Linked DNA regions of Arabidopsis thaliana. The protein of the gene in region 1 interacts with the protein of each later gene in a pairwise test. Each region holds a gene or a part of one and is shown on either strand. Other genes may lie near its edges.

Evidence for each region. The genes of interacting proteins can lie anywhere in the genome.
Region 2: the proteins of DA1 (region 1) and HB4 interact in a two-hybrid assay, tested with the Arabidopsis thaliana proteins (one large-scale study listed by BioGRID).

What each region holds. Positions count from the first base shown.
Region 1 is NC_003070.9:6,657,844-6,666,195, reverse strand, and holds DA1 (DA1), read right to left. Parts: upstream 3,780-8,352; 5' UTR 3,172-3,779; intron 2,910-3,171; 5' UTR 2,870-2,909; coding exon 2,684-2,869; intron 2,575-2,683; coding exon 2,481-2,574; intron 2,374-2,480; coding exon 2,145-2,373; intron 2,046-2,144; coding exon 1,925-2,045; intron 1,827-1,924; coding exon 1,743-1,826; intron 1,614-1,742; coding exon 1,494-1,613; intron 1,392-1,493; coding exon 1,179-1,391; intron 1,079-1,178; coding exon 900-1,078; intron 818-899; coding exon 759-817; intron 665-758; coding exon 351-664; 3' UTR 164-350; downstream 1-163. Other genes in the region: AT1G19260 (TTF-type zinc finger protein with HAT dimerization domain-containing protein), read left to right, coding at 6,627-8,352. UniProt on the Arabidopsis thaliana protein: Ubiquitin receptor that limits final seed and organ size by restricting the period of cell proliferation. May act maternally to control seed mass. Acts synergistically with DA2 to regulate seed size.
Region 2 is NC_003071.7:18,515,949-18,524,300, reverse strand, and holds HB4 (homeobox-leucine zipper protein 4), read left to right. Parts: upstream 1-4,569; 5' UTR 4,570-4,775; coding exon 4,776-4,977; intron 4,978-5,166; coding exon 5,167-5,525; intron 5,526-5,685; coding exon 5,686-5,765; intron 5,766-6,098; coding exon 6,099-6,414; 3' UTR 6,415-6,645; downstream 6,646-8,352. UniProt on the Arabidopsis thaliana protein: Probable transcription factor.

The sequences.
Region 1 (8,352 bases):
CTCAAAGTTCCGTACTTTGGAATGTGTCTAAGGTTTTAGTCGACGATTGACGACGACTACGTCGGCGACGAAGAGTGAGAGTGTGTAAAGAAGAAACCTTTAAATTGGAATTTGGTTCGGTTGGTTTGGTTTGGCTCGGTTTGGTTCGATTGAATTTGGAGAGCAATAACAAAGAAAACACTGAATCTGATTCTGATGGATTTTAACAGAGGAATACAAAGAATCATCGAATGAGACTACACATAAGAATATGGTCGAGAGTACATTTTCCACCAAAAGAATTAGAGCATATAATAATAATCTACCAAGGATCCTATAAATAAAGTAGAAGACCTTGTCCATTTGGGTTCTTAAACCGGGAATCTACCGGTCATCTGTATATGCTCAAGTGTTTTTCGCAAACCGTACTTGTGAACAGCTAACCTCCCAGCTCTGAACCCGTCTCCATAAACCGGAGAAGCATCAGACTCGATTTGGTGCTTGAAAAACTCACCAAGCTTTCTCTCGTACTGAGATCTCGGTCCCTTTTTCAGTCCTTGAGAAGAGGAGGATGATGATGCAGCATTGCTATTTGTTGAACCAGCAGCTAACTCAGCATCTAACCATTTATGAGCCATCACTTGACATATACCTTCTTCAACATCTTGGCTCAGTGTTCGGAATCCTTTTTAAGACCAAAACGAAACAAGGTTTCAACAATGTGATCAACAGAAAGAAGCAGTAATATAAGACGTTAAGAGGAGTAGTAAGAAATTCACCTTTGAGCCTCATCCACGCATGCATCATCTCATGAGCTAGAATCGAACCAGTAAGTAACCTGAACAAAATTCAGCAAAACCATCAATGCTTGAACTGTGACATAAGATCAATTCAATGGAAGCAAAAAGAGTCTTTTTTACCTAGGGAGCCCGAATAAGATGAGAATGGCGGTAACTTCACATTGCCGTGTTAACTTGTAAGGTTCTGTAATATTCCCGGCCCATTTTCCTGTGCCATGCTTTGATCGCTTTCTTACAGTACTAACAGTTTGTTCTTCTGAAAGGCAGAGTCCTCTTGTTTCTGGCATGTGATAGTGACCCTAAGAAGCAAAATGAAAAGGTTTAATACTTTAGAAACAGAATGTGATAATAATTTCAAGTATTAGCTTAGTACTGGATAATTGTCTTTTCTTTACTTACATTCTTTTCACCTTCTCTGGCTTCGTTAAGTGCTTGTCTCTCAACCAAGAGGAGTGGAACTTCCTGCTCTACCTTCATGTTGAGTCCTTCATAGAAATTTTGTATTTGCAAGTACAGAGGTTGGCATTGCATGGTGTCCATGACCGCCGAGTCCAAACACTCAAGGCAAAGTTTCCGTCCATCGTTAAGTTCAACATATCTCGTATTCCGTGGCTACAAAGTATAGCTAAGTTGTCAATTACCGGCTAAAAAATGTTTTCACTTTTGAGTAGATGATGTATGTTTGGGGACATATTAGAGGAGAAGAAAACCCACCTCCATTCTTTCACAACTGCAACATCTCGGGGTAGCATCGTGTTCGTGAGAAGGACAATACTTCTGAACCCAAAAAGGATGTGCCCTATATTCAATAAGACCAGCATGATTTGTTGGTATCTGTTCAAAGAATTTACATTCGGGAGAAAAACAAAGCAACAGACGATAAGTGTAAGATCCGGAACAAAACAACAACACATGAATATATTTATGGGCTAAAATGATAGAAAAGGAAAGAGGTTTACGTACAAAGTGGCTGCAGACATCACATTTAGGATGATATCTCTCCCTGTAACAAGCCTTGTGAAAAGGGTAGTTCCCTGATGTTGAAAACTATAGGAAAAAAGGGAAACACATTACAAAAGAAAATCTAAAGGTTAAGTAGAACCAGAAAGCAAATGAAGAGGATATGGAAGAGAGCTTGGTTTCACCTCGTACTCAGAAATCGGCTGACTGCAGCCATAACATCGAAAACATTCTGGATGCCATAGTGAATTAAGGCAATTCAGAAATCTTCCATGGCCAATCTCCATATTACAGCCAGCACAAATCCTATGCAGACAAGTTGTTGACAAGTTATTTGGCTGCTGGACACTAAACTAACACATCGACCAAATTAAGCCAGCTAAATATGATTGGCTATCTAAATACCTGAAATCCATTTGAAAAGTAATAGGTCTTGGATAATAAATATCTCCATTTGCATATACATTTCCTCCTCCATACATATGTCCATTCCCATATAAATCTCCAGCTCCATATGCATTCCCATTATCATATGTACTTCCACTTTTGTGACGGGGTGAATTCCCAACTACCATACTTTCTTGTAGGGCTCTAGCAAGTTGCTCATCTTCATCCACCGGCATCGAGTATTTCCCTGTGTCCATTACTTTTTTTAAAGGAATTGTAGCAAACCGAATCCGATAACAAAACCATGTCTTCATATATCTGTTTTGGCTAAAACAATCCTGAAAATGAACTCACCGCTTATACTTGTCTGTTCTTGATTCTCTTCTAAAAGCGACAATGCAATTGCACGGTCTATGTCTTCATTTTCCTGGTCATTCGATGTATTATCCTAGTAAAGAAAAACCACAAAAGTTGAAATAACAGTACAGACCAGAGCTATGATAAACCGTCAACTATATATGTGGTTCTTTTCACTACTTCATGATCCCCAAACTCACCTCAGATGTAGATGGTTCCTGAGTATGATGAGGTTCATCATTATCAGCATCTGTATCCGCCGCACTAGGCTCATCATCATGTGAAGCAGTCGGATAATTATCGTAATAAACATTGTGATTGTGCTTATTATTCCCAACCCGGAGCCTTTGGTTAGAGCCTTTAAAGATCTTGTTAAACCAACCCATAATGCCTAAATAAAACTATCTGCTCATACGGCAATGCAGCCTGCAAAATCGTCGAATCATCTCTGATTAGCAAAAACCCAAAACAAACTTGTTTCACTTCCAAACATCAAAAGCCACAGAACAATAGCACTTTGAATCTAACAACAATAACTAAACAACCCTAAAACCTGTCACCATTAAGCAAACGAGTTCCAAACGGATTTGTTTTTTGTTTTTTTTTTCAAAAAACCATGAAATTAGAATCCAGACATGGAATTATCAAGTAATTGCAGCTGCAAAGAAGCTAAAGATCGTCCCTTTACCTTGAGAAAATCCTGAATCAGATAAGATCCCAATAAGCTTCACGAAACCCCCACAAAATCCAGAATCACAAAAATGATCTAATCAAGCAAGGGAAGCAGCAAAAGAATCTCAAAAAGGACTCTTTAGTTCTCTCCTTTCTTCAAAATTTGGGGAAGAATCTATAACATGGGGGAAAAAAAAAAAAAAGAGAAAAGAAAAGAAAAAAGGAAATTAAACTTTTTTTATATAAAAGAATGCAACTTTGACAAAATCAATGTCTACTCATACACGAATAAACCCAGAATGTGCTTGAATTCTACGCTAATCCAAAGTCAAAAAATTTGGTGCACTCACAAAAAAAGAATAAAAATCGTATTTTTATTTAATGAGGATCACGAAGAAGAGATCGAGAGTATCGAATATTTTGGAACGAAAAAAACAAAAGAGGAGAAATGAATTAAAAAGTCTTCGTGTCCGAAGTTTTTTGGTCGTTGAGCTTGTTGAGCTCTTCTTCTTCTTCTTCCAGGAAAAAACGTTCCCCACGCTGTGATTTAGAGATAGAAAGAGAATTATAATTATACTATTACGCAATTTAAAAGTCAAATAATTATTTTGTTTTGGCAATTTCTTCCATTTTGCAACGTTTATGCAAATATCTAGATATTTAATATTTAATTATTGCTTCAAGCCTTAAACCAAATCTTCTACAAGTCGTAACGCATTTATCCGGATTGTCGGGTTCTAATTCTAATAAGATTTTATATATTTTTGCTAGAAAACATTAAATATATTTTTTTTATAATTTTCCACTAAATTGTAAAATTATTTATAAATATATATTTTCTTTATTACTAAATGATTTATTTCTAAAAGATTAATCTTTTAAATTTTTCATGCAATATTTATTGGATAATATTAGTGAATTGTAATTTTCTAAAAAAATAGTTAATTATCATTGATTTAGAATAATAGAAAATTGTAAAACACAAAAAATAATAAATTTATAATCAATATTTAATATATATATTTTTTTAATATGTGTGTTTTTCTAAACATCAAACAAAAACGCATAAATACAAGAAAAAATGTATAAATACTAATTAACTGTTTAAACCGTTGTTGTTTCAATTAATTGTCAAGTTATCGAATTTTAGTTGATAGATTTTTTAACCAATACGATAATTAGAATTTGATTTGAACCAAAATCTAGGCTCCCATAACTCACTCACATTTTATTGATATGAAAATAATATTATTTAACTTTTGGCTTTTCAGCGTGATTTGTAATTTTACCAATTGCCAAATAATTCAGCAGAAAGCTAAGAAATGAGAAGAAAAAAAATTGAAAAAGAGAAGTACATATAATGAATTAATGATGTTATTACTTATTCCATATCGAAAAGGTGACAACAAAGGAAAAAAAGTTGAAGAAAAGATTAGGAAAAAGTTGGTGAGGCGTGGTTTTGTTAAAATATTACAAGCAAACACAATTTATTAATTTTATATCATAACTTTAAATTAGAAAGTAAAGTATAGAGGTGAAAAAAGATATGGAAAGGAAATTTGTTGATTTATGCAAAAAGTAAAAGTTCAATCATGTTTACCTTATTGACATATTATAATTTAGCATACACGTACGATATACATTACATGAATTCATAAATTATAAACTACATGTATGAGTGTCAATGTCACAATGTGATATCGTTCATCATCACTTTACAATATTATTAAACGAATAATTTGGTAATTAAGTATGTGAATTTCTTCTTTATACACTCGCGGAAGTTACGGTGACCACGGAAAGTGATAGCTTTTATGGGCTTTCACAGGCCCGTTATTATTTTGAATGTAAAAAAATCGTATCTCGTTTATAGGCTTTATAAGCTCATATATGTAACAAATTTTTACTTCATTATGTTTCTAACCAGTAACCACGACCTTTATATAAACCCGCATACATTACTTAACCACTAGCCGTCTATTGGATCCGACGATTTAGCTATTACTACTATTACATTCTTGAGATAGCTGAGTTTGGGTTTGTCATGAACAAGTTGTTCTTTATGTATGATACAACTTGTATATTACTTCATACCTCATTTTGGTTTGTAATACTGAAATCATTTGAGCCTCGTTCTTTTTTTTACGAAAGCTCTACCAAACCATTCAACTAGTTAGCTTATATTAATTTTCATGTCTTCTGCTTATTTTTAACGTTCAATGAAGTTGCAAATTACCTTATCTCACAAGTTCACACAACACTCATTTTATTTTTTACATACTCCAAGAGAAAGTTAATGGGCCTCGATTTTTTCTATAGGCCCATTATTATTTGAACCATTATGCTCCTATCGATATAAAAGTGTACTTTTGGTAATATTTTTGCTTAATCGTTTGATCATTTTGGTCGTAGAGTCTTTTATAGATATGTGACCCGTAAACTATGTTTAGCTTTCTTCTTCTTCTTCACATTTTGGGAAATTTTAATTCATTTTAGGTAGTCTGTCAATTTTTTACAGGTGATATAACTCTATCTGTGTTTTATTATTTAACGATTCAGTTACTGATCAAATTTCTATTCACTCTGGGGAATTTGATGTCCCTTGAGAATATGCTAAATGCTCTGCATGCTATTAACTTTATACTCACATACAGCTTTGATCCAAAGTGCCTACCCAACACACAGGGACGGAGCCAATGAAGAATTATAGGGGTCAAATGACCTCAGTGAACTTTTGGAAAATAATAGAATTTTTATTAAAAAATATTTATTGACCCCAGTCAAACAAAAATATTGACCCCTATGAATGATTTATTAAGGTACAAGTAAAACAAAGCTCAATAAAATTTTATGAATTATAAATACAAAAACCCAATAATTTTATTAAAATTATACTAATGTTAGGTCCAATAAAAATCTGTCAAATTAAGAAAGTAAAAAACCTAAATAATTGAACATGTGTCGTGGTAGCCAAAAACAATTTAGCTTCTTCCTCTTTTGTTTTTTATACAATCATCACATCCTTGAAAATCAGATTAAGGCTCGAGACTATAGATTTCAAGGTAAACTCTTTTATATATATATATATATATATATATATATATTTTATATAAAGTTTAATTAACTATCAACCAATTTCAATTTGATCACTTAAGCAAAATTCGTTTGTGATTAATTTAGTTTTTGGTGTTGTTATTCTGTCAAAAATTAAAAACTCAATTCGTCATTATTCATGAGTTTTCTTTGTAACGTTAGTCGTCAATATACTGTTTTCTTCTTAATTTTTGATGTAGTTTGTTTTAGTTTCTAATTTAATCTCACAGTAATTTTTACTAATGACAAAAATTAAAGTTGTCATGAATCATGATAAGGCCACGGAGAAAACAATTTTTATGTTTGATTTAAGTTTCAACTCATGATTTTTATATTGATTCTTATTTTTTGTATGTAGGCAAGGCAACAACAAAAATAATGTATCGGTTTCTGAAAAGAAAATCTCCGCCACCACCTGATATTAATTTAAATGAATTGCCAAGTGATCCCGCAAAGAGAAAAAGCATTCTAAGTTATCATCCTAATCAAAGAGATGAGGTACGACGTGAATATTTGATTAGGGGACCTTGTCAACCTCGTGGTCATAAGTTTAAACAAATAGCAATTGGAAAGGTGTTACGCCGTTTTAATCCAAAATGGTTTGATTTGTATGGTGATTGGTTGGAGTATAGTGTGGAGAAAGAAAAAGCTTTTTGCTTGTATTGTTACTTATTCAGAGATCAAACTGGAAATCAAGGAGGGAGTGATAGCTTTCTATCAACTGGTTTTTGTAGTTGGAATAAGGCTGATAGGTTGGACCAACATGTGGGATTGGATGTGAATAGTTTTCACAATAATGCAAAAAGAAAATGTGAGGATTTGATGAGACAAGGTCAGTCCATCAAGCATGCTCTCCATAAGCAAACCGATGTTGTGAAGAATGATTATCGAATCTGGTTGAATGCTTCCATTGATGTTTCTCGACACTTGTTACATCAAGGATTACCATTTCGTGGTCATGATGAATCAGAAGAGTCAACAAATAAGGGTAATTTTGTAGAGCTTTTGAAGTATACAGCTGGTCAGAATGAAGTTGTAAAGAAAGTTGTGTTGAAAAATGCTCCTAAAAATAACCAGATGACATCTCCACCAATTCAAAAAGATATTGTCCATTGCTTTTCAAAAGAGGTAACTAGATCTATTATTGAAGAAATGGATAATGATGTCTTTGGCTTGCTTGTAGATGAATCGGCTGATGCTTCAGATAAAGAGCAAATGGCAGTAGTTTTTCGCTTCGTTGATAAGTATGGGGTAGTTAAAGAAAGATTTATTGGTGTTATTCATGTGCAAGAGACATCTTCTTTATCTCTAAAAAGTGCTATTGATTCTTTGTTTGCTAAATATGGATTGAGTTTGAAAAAGCTGAGAGGGCAGGGATACGATGGAGCTAGCAACATGAAAGGAGAGTTCAATGGACTGAGATCATTGATTTTGAAAGAAAGTAGCTCTGCATATTATGTGCATTGCTTCGCTCATCAACTACAATTGGTTGTCATGGCAGTTGCAAAAAAACATGTTGAAGTTGGAGAGTTTTTTTATATGATTTCTGTTTTGCTAAATGTTGTTGGAGCTTCTTGCAAAAGAAAAGATAAGATCCGGGAAATCCATCGGCAAAAAGTGGAAGAAAAGATTAGCAATGGTGAAATTAAGACAGGAACTGGGTTAAACCAAGAACTTTCCCTTCAAAGACCTGGAAATACTCGTTGGGGTTCACATTATAAGACTTTGTTGCGTCTTGAGGAGTTGTTTTCATCTATAGTTATAGTTCTCGAGTATATCCAGGATGAAGGCACCGACACCACCAAAAGACAACAAGCATATGGTATTCTCAAGTATTTTCACACCTTTGATTTTGTTTTCTATCTGGAGTTGATGTTGCTTGTTATGGGACTCACTGATAGCTTATCAAAGGCTTTGCAAAGAAAAGATCAAGATATCTTAAATGCTATTTCATTGGTGAAAACTACTAAATGTCAGTTGCAAAAGGTTAGAGACGATGGATGGGATGCTTTTATGGCTAAAGTTAGTTCTTTTAGCGAGAAAAATAACACTGGAATGCTTAAAATGGAGGAAGAATTTGTTGATTCTAGAAGACCAAGGAAAA
Region 2 (8,352 bases), on another chromosome or scaffold:
TTTTAATTGAGCTTATTTAGGCCCAACACATTTTGTTAAGTTTAACCCAGATACCACCAGTTTGACTTATATGCAAATATTAAGACTTTTTTATTGTTTGTAGATTCTGAAATGGTTTTTAGTTTTTGATTTTGGAAAAAAACAATTTGTTACTCATTCAAGATTATAATAAAAATGATTTCCTAAAAATTAGAGAATCTAGATTTAAAGAGATTTTGTCAATTCTTTCCCAAAATCCAAAAACCATATTTACTAGTTTTTAGAATTACCATTTGAATTTATTTATTTTATATATTTTTCCATTTATTTTATTTCTTCTTTTGTGTAAAATCCAAAGACCAAAACCAAAAATCTATAATCTAAAAACCACTTATAATTGATATTACTTAAAATTTTGATTAAAAAAAAAAAGAACAATATGAAGGCCTTGAGATCTTGAGCGATAGTACATTTCAAATGAAATTTTTAGTTTTGTTCATAAGTCTAATATAGTTAAATAGATATCGTCTTAAGAAAAGACGAATTATCCATCACTCAAGTTCTAATTGTCTCTCTACCAATTTTAGTGCAATGAAATCTAATTTCTCAAACAAAGCGAGATCACGTGCAATTCACATGGATAACAGCTGGACACCCACACACAATCCAAAACGCATTGGATCGAGGCTGTGTGATCATAACATCATGAGAGGAGGCTAAGGGGTATAAATGTAATTACGTAGAAGAAGCTCGTGTCGCATCAAATGATTGGTGTCCGGTGAGAGAGAGGCAAAGAGACACGCGCGGGGGTGGTGCGAAGGTAGGACAATGGGAACCCGTCTATTATTTCACTTGTGGGATTGACACGTGGATACTCAATCACGTGACTTCCCACGTGAAACGCTGGCGTATCTAATTTAATTTTAAGTCCTTTGTCTGTTTTTTTTTTCTCCTCACTCCATTCTTTACACATCTTAGTCACGTGGCTCTCACTCGCTATGTCTCCTCGCTAACTTTTTTTTTGAATCTTGAAACTTTCTGCTTTTTAACTTTATTTATTTATTTTGGATTTCGTAAAGATTGTTCAACGGAAATACGCTCGATGCTGTTGTTTTCAGTCCTTAACTATGATTAATATTAGGGTTCAGATGGTTACAAGTTGCGAATCCGAAAACTGTCAATAACAAAAAACAAAACAGCATTCAATTGTGTTATAGTTTCATATACGATTCATCTTGTGACCGTCACCATTTAAAACTTATACCATAGTAAAGTCTTATTTCAAAAGATTTTAATTTGGTAACTAGCTAGTTGAACTATCCAGAGTCCAGACGTTTTGAGATATATTTTGTCTAGGATTTATATATTTGAAAGAAAAAATTTGTCGAACGATTTGATCTAAAGACATCTTTTTTCTATCGGATCAATTCACTAGATATTTCGTCGACTTTTTAAAAAAGCACCGATAAGGCGGCAAGTTCATTCTGATATAATTCAATTCAGTGTTCGATCGATCACCTTAGTTCTTATAAATGCTACTTAGATTATGTATGCCTTTATGATCTCTGTTTATAAATATAATTTCTGCATGCATGTGAACAGCTGTTATTCTGAAATTCTAATATCTTACACACCTTTCCAGCGTATCCCTATGTTTTAGTGTTCAAAACGTAGCATATGTTATTATTAATACAGATTGCACGGATAGCAAATAATAAATTATAAGAATCAATCAAATCTTGGAACGGACCAAAATAAGTGACGGGCTTCCCACGTGGACATGTGTAATGATTTCGAGTAAATTGTTAGATACGTCGATACAATCATGTGGTACGTGAAAATATCATAATTATTTTGTAATGATTAAATTGGCTCAGCAAGCAATAACATTGATGGATGGACTAAACAGTAGAACTATGGTTGAATGATTTTCTTTTCTTTTTGACGTCATTGATAGTGAGTGATTTATACGAATAAAAATATGCCGATGAGCAACAGATTTCAGTTGTTAGTTGTTACCGTGTCAAAAAAAAATGTTGAGCAAAGATCAAAATTTATATATATTTTTTTTGCTAATAACAGAATATAAATTGATACTTTACATTAATATATGTATAATTATAAATGCACATGGTTATGGACACACACGTGGGACCAAATTGTGTATCTTCTTTTTAAAAATGTAGATGTATCAAAATTATTGAACTCTTGAATTAAGTAAGTATGATAAGGATTTATATTCATGCATGATTACCTCAGAAACTCTCGTTGTTGGTACAACATGGGCTTTGGTTGCTTTGGCCGGTTTTCACCGGATCCTGTTCGTAGCTGTCTCTTACCGAACTGATATCTTTAAATTAATTCCCTCGCCATACAGTTATAACAAAACTCAAACCATATTGTAAATATACTCATATCCACAATTTAACTCATATTTACGTGTATTAATATATTGAGTTTTTTGTTTTGCTAAAGATCTTATCGAGTATCTTCTAACGTTCTCTTCTTTAAATTCTCTCAACGATTTAAAAAAAAAAAAAAAAAAATCACAGCGATTTTTACAGGAAAAATTACGCGAGAGTGAGCGCGTGGAATTGTTAGGAACCATCGAGTCGGAGGAGGAGAGAAGTATCCAATGATTAAAGAGAAGTGAATGTCTGGTCGTGGAGGAACAAAAATTACGCCGCACGAGTGTGGTCACTGGGGACCATGTTCTGCCACGTTGGCAACTTCCCACGTGAACCCCTTCCCATTTCCCACGTGACCACCACTTCTTCTATTTCCTTTGAATCTCTTGCTTTACTTCTTCTACACTCTCTCCCACACCATTCACACGCTTCATTCCAGAATTTCACATTCTTAAATATGCAATGTACTGAAACATCAATACATCATCAGCTCTTAAACATATTTCAACCAATCGTGAAAACAAATGAATTAATTTGTACGAATTTCACGGAGAACGAAGATGTAGTAACGATATATTTTCTTTTTCATATTAGTTACACTTCATGTAGTTTTATCATGAAACATTCATACAAAAATATAGCATAGCCATGTAACAAAGCAGAATCATACATACATACGTTTTCTAGACAAAAAGACAAATAAAAAAAACACTTGTCTGATTTTCCTTAAAACATTCAAGAATGCCAGGAGAATTGGGGAAAAATAGATTACAGTATAAGCTTAGAAACAACTGTATATAATTAATGAACATGGGTTATGAATTGTAACTTGCAACAAACTTTACATTAATATGCATGATACGGCTCATATATCATAAACCCATGCTAACTTAGTTCAAACCCCTTATTCATTTATCAATAAATACATACTTTGTAGCTTTGAGCAAAAAAGCTTACAAGAAAATTTAGGAATATAATAATTTGTTTGTATAACTATTGTTTTCAGAGTACTATACTATCAATCAAGTCAACTAACCAATTAGGCTCCAAAATAAAATCAATTTTCTAAACGTAATTTACCAAGAAAAGTTTATAAGAAAGGTCAAAGCAAGTTATAAGAGTCAATGAAAAGACCGCATTGATTGAAGATACATAAGAAGTCAATATATAGTCATTAAGAATAAATTTGAAAGTAATTAATTTGTTTTGAAAAAGCGTCGGGCGTTATTTAACTTTAAAATTAATTAACAAACGAGACCTGTCTTGTCTTGTCTGTAACTCTCAAAGAAACTGAAGTAGTAATAATGATGGCATTATCAACAACTTTGAAAACAATAGAAAGGAAACATAAACCAAAAATTATTGTTTCAATGACAGGAAGTAGCCGTAAACTCTACCATCCACTAATGTTTTCCAAATGTCCGTTTGCTATTTGATTTAGCCATAAAATTCAATGGAAAAACTTGAATATTGCTTTTATTAGTTGACCAAAAGAATTACTCGAAGGATAGTTTTTGGAAAAGGGAATAATAAATTAATTGAAGACTAATTAGATGCATGTTGGGTTCACGGGGTAACTCTAGAGTCTTAAAACCCCATGCAGTATTAGGCTCTGTGTTATCAAAGACGACATCGTTTTCTGACTACCATACCCATTTTGAGCCCAACGCCATTCTATTCAGTTCCACGCGTTCTTACTCACGTTTGTTCTACACGAGCGACGCTACTTTACCATATACATCTGTCTTTTCTTGTTAAAATACCATCTCATGGTTTTAAGAAATAAAAAGAGTATTCAAACAAAGATCTTTGTTATACTACTATTATTGTTTAGTAGATCTACAAAGCGTGTGCATTACTTCCCAAAATAATTTAATAATGGGTTTTATAAGCTAATCAAGTTCGAAATATGAATTTTCGAGAATAAAAAATGATTGATTAGTTAAGCATCATTTTTAAAACGTTGTACCATAACCAAATACAGTACTTATTACTGTCAAAGACAAAAAAATAACTGAGATTTTAGGTATTAAAATGTTAACGTTTGTTATTGACTTTTAGGACGAAAATGAACAAAAATTCATTTGTCAAACGTATTGAAAAAATTAAACGCATTGGAGTTGAATGACTTTTTTTTTTTTTTTTTTTTAAAGAGAGAGGAGCAGGTAACAGTATATATCATCATTGAAATTACAAGGGTCTTTCTGACACAAGTCATCATTGAAACCCCAAGCACCCCACATAACCCCTTCTCTCTATTAATTGTCTACATATCAACTTCTGTGTATATATATATTAGTCGTGTCTTTAACCCCATTATCACTACATCGATTTTCTCGAGAAAGTCTTTCAAAATCCAGAAAAGAAAAGTTCTTTCTGTTGAGGACAATGGGGGAAAGAGATGATGGGTTGGGTTTGAGTCTAAGCTTGGGAAATAGTCAACAAAAAGAACCATCTCTGAGGTTGAATCTTATGCCGTTGACAACTTCTTCTTCTTCTTCTTCGTTTCAACACATGCACAATCAGAATAACAATAGCCATCCCCAGAAGATTCATAACATCTCTTGGACTCATCTGTTTCAATCTTCTGGTAATACTTTTCTATTTCTCGTTTTAATATAATGTTTTTTTAAGCATTAAATGTGTTGAAATTCTGTTTTATGTGCATAACTTCGGATCTATGTTTCAGATCCGATTCTTTTTTAAATAAAGATATTTCTGTTTTAGTAATTTACGAAACTGAAGCTAAAAACGTTTTTCGGGTTTTGATGTACTCTAGGGATTAAACGTACAACTGCAGAGAGAAACTCCGACGCCGGGTCATTTCTAAGAGGTTTCAACGTGAACAGAGCTCAGTCTTCGGTGGCGGTAGTGGACTTGGAAGAAGAAGCCGCCGTCGTCTCGTCTCCAAACAGCGCCGTTTCGAGTCTGAGTGGAAATAAAAGGGATCTTGCGGTGGCGAGAGGAGGAGATGAAAACGAGGCGGAGAGAGCTTCTTGCTCACGCGGAGGGGGAAGCGGTGGTAGCGACGATGAAGACGGCGGAAACGGCGACGGATCAAGGAAGAAACTACGGTTATCGAAGGATCAAGCTCTTGTTCTCGAGGAGACTTTTAAAGAACATAGCACTCTTAATCCGGTTAGTGGCATTTTGTGTAATTTTTATCTAACTTATAAATTCAGTTAATTACATTTTCGTTATTTGTCACTTCTTATTGCATGGACGTTTGTAATTGGCTTCTCTCTAAAAGACTAAAATTGGTTTTTTTTTTTTTTTTTTTAATTATCGGATTGGGCAGAAGCAAAAGCTGGCTCTAGCAAAACAGTTGAATCTAAGGGCAAGACAAGTTGAAGTGTGGTTTCAGAACCGTAGGGCAAGGTAAAGAAATTATCTTTATTTTCTAGGGGTATTATAGGAAATTTGGTTTCACAGAACCTTAGTAATTGCTATGATGGGGATATAATTGTCCTTTTATGACCCAAAAGCGATTTCAGTTCCCTGTCCTAAAAGAAAATCCTAATAAGATCTCTGCCTCTGTACTGTCACATGGAGTTTCTTACTTTTTACTACAGCCTTAAAGACACATGCATGCGTATGCGTACAAATAAAATCTACTTTTGTCCTTTTTTGTTTCTTATCAGTTTTAAACTTTTATTTCTGTTCACTTCACTAATTAAGGTGATTTTGATTTATTATTTGTACGTACATTAGGACGAAGCTGAAACAAACGGAGGTTGATTGTGAGTATTTAAAGAGATGTTGCGATAATCTGACCGAGGAGAATCGACGGCTGCAGAAAGAAGTGTCGGAGCTGAGGGCGTTGAAGTTGTCTCCACATCTCTACATGCACATGACTCCTCCTACTACTCTCACCATGTGCCCTTCTTGCGAACGTGTCTCCTCCTCTGCCGCCACTGTGACCGCTGCTCCTTCCACTACTACTACTCCTACGGTGGTGGGGCGGCCAAGTCCACAGCGATTAACTCCTTGGACTGCTATTTCTCTCCAGCAAAAATCAGGTCGCTAGGGAAGGAGTATCTTCGGTAGTTTTAGCTTAGAATAAAGATATGAGTATGAAAGTTTCAAAGATTAGCTTCTATCTATTGAAAATGAAAACAAAGATTAGTCTCAATTCAAAGGGTTCAATTTGAGGCTCTAATTCTGAATTTGTTTTAACCTGTAAAAGGATTACCCTTTTTAGAATTCAGTTTTGTGAGTATATTTGATTGTTTATTACCTCTAAAATCATGAGAGAGATCTTCTAGGGGTTGTACGTAATAAAACATTAATGGGCTTAGATAAAGATTAACCAACAAAAAATCATGGTGGGCTTTTTGCCGGCATTACTCTGTTATGCATAGATGTTCTTTCTCCTCCTTTGTTGGGTTATAAAACCGAGAGACTTCGAAACCCACCGATGGTATTGGGATCCATATTTCCAAACTGTCTGTCTGAGGATGTGGATATTTGGGTGATGTTGAAACTCTCAAGTCATTTTATATGAGGAATTTTCAAACATCAGTTTTAATGAAACAAAGAATGTTCCAATTGGAACATAAATATCATAACAAATGAAATTATCAATAAATAGAAGTAATAAAGAATCGTAATACCTAATCAATCAAATTATTGGTTGGGTCCAAATGAGCGTCTCGTCAAGTTACTCGAGCCTCCTCTTTTTTTCTTTTCTTTCTGCCTTCTTTGGTTTACTCGTCAAAGTCTCATCTCACTAAAAATAAGTTTCATCTAAACTTCTCTAAAGTATTTTCTATGGGGGTGAAAACGTTAAACTGAAAGTGTAGTGAAGAAGTTGATAAAAAAGGAAAGGAGTTGTACAAAGGGATGCAGATTCCTATATTCAACATGGTCGACATATATCTCCTTTCTTTCTAATTTCAGTACTTTCAAAAGAGTAACTTTTAAGTTTTTATTAAAGACCAGTCTCTTAATGTTCAATTCAACCAAAATAATATAAACTTATAATTGTATATATATGAAAATCAAACTGTTTTCATGAGTTTGTGCCTAATTGAATAGATTTCAACTAAACCTCAATACCAGATTTAAATGCACAATATTATAACAATTGTTCAGTGTAACATTTTTTTTTCCTAAAGCATGAAAAAGAAGAAACAAACAACAATGGCTGAATTTTGGATCATAACGTTTTTATGGTTGAGATAAATGAAATTCTCCTGACAACATTTTACTATTTAATGGAGTAACAACAAAGAGAAACAATATGGAAATACCAATCTGTATTAAAGTTAACACTAACAAAAGAAAAAATCAATAGTCTTAAAATGTAATTGCGGTAAAATATATTGAAACATTGTAATAATGTATAATGGTATTCAAATCAATAAAAATGCAGAAAATCAAATTGTAATTAAAAGGTAAAAAAGATAAAAAAAAAAGGGAGGTGAATTAATTCTGCTGCCTCTCTCTCTATCATATTCGTATATATGAGCTGTGTTTTCATCACACGAAGCCCTCTTCTCTCTTGTCTCTTCTCCTCTAAGCCCCGACCTGGAATTTTCCAATTCCTTCATCATCATCTTCTCTCTCTATCTCTTTGTGCCGCACGAATAAAGGAAGAGAGAGTTTAACGGAATTACTTTGAGACTTTGAGAGAGGTCTTTTGGTTTCTTATACAGTTTTCGGGTTTGGCTTCAATTCTCTCCGACCATCACTCTCTCTTCTTTATCCTCTCTTCACTTTCAAATTCCCATTGACCTTCTTCTCATCATTGTGAGTTTAATGTCAATACAAATCTATTGACGAAGAAAGGTCAGAGATTTTGCTTCTCTATTCGAGGGTTTTTGCGTTCGTTGAGCTCTTTGAATTCGGTTTTAATCTAATCGTATCGTGTAATGTGTTGTTGATTCGATATGGTTACTAGGTTTTGAAAAGACTCTGAGCCTTCCAAGTATCTAAATTGCTTAAAATCGGGGGACGAAAGGTT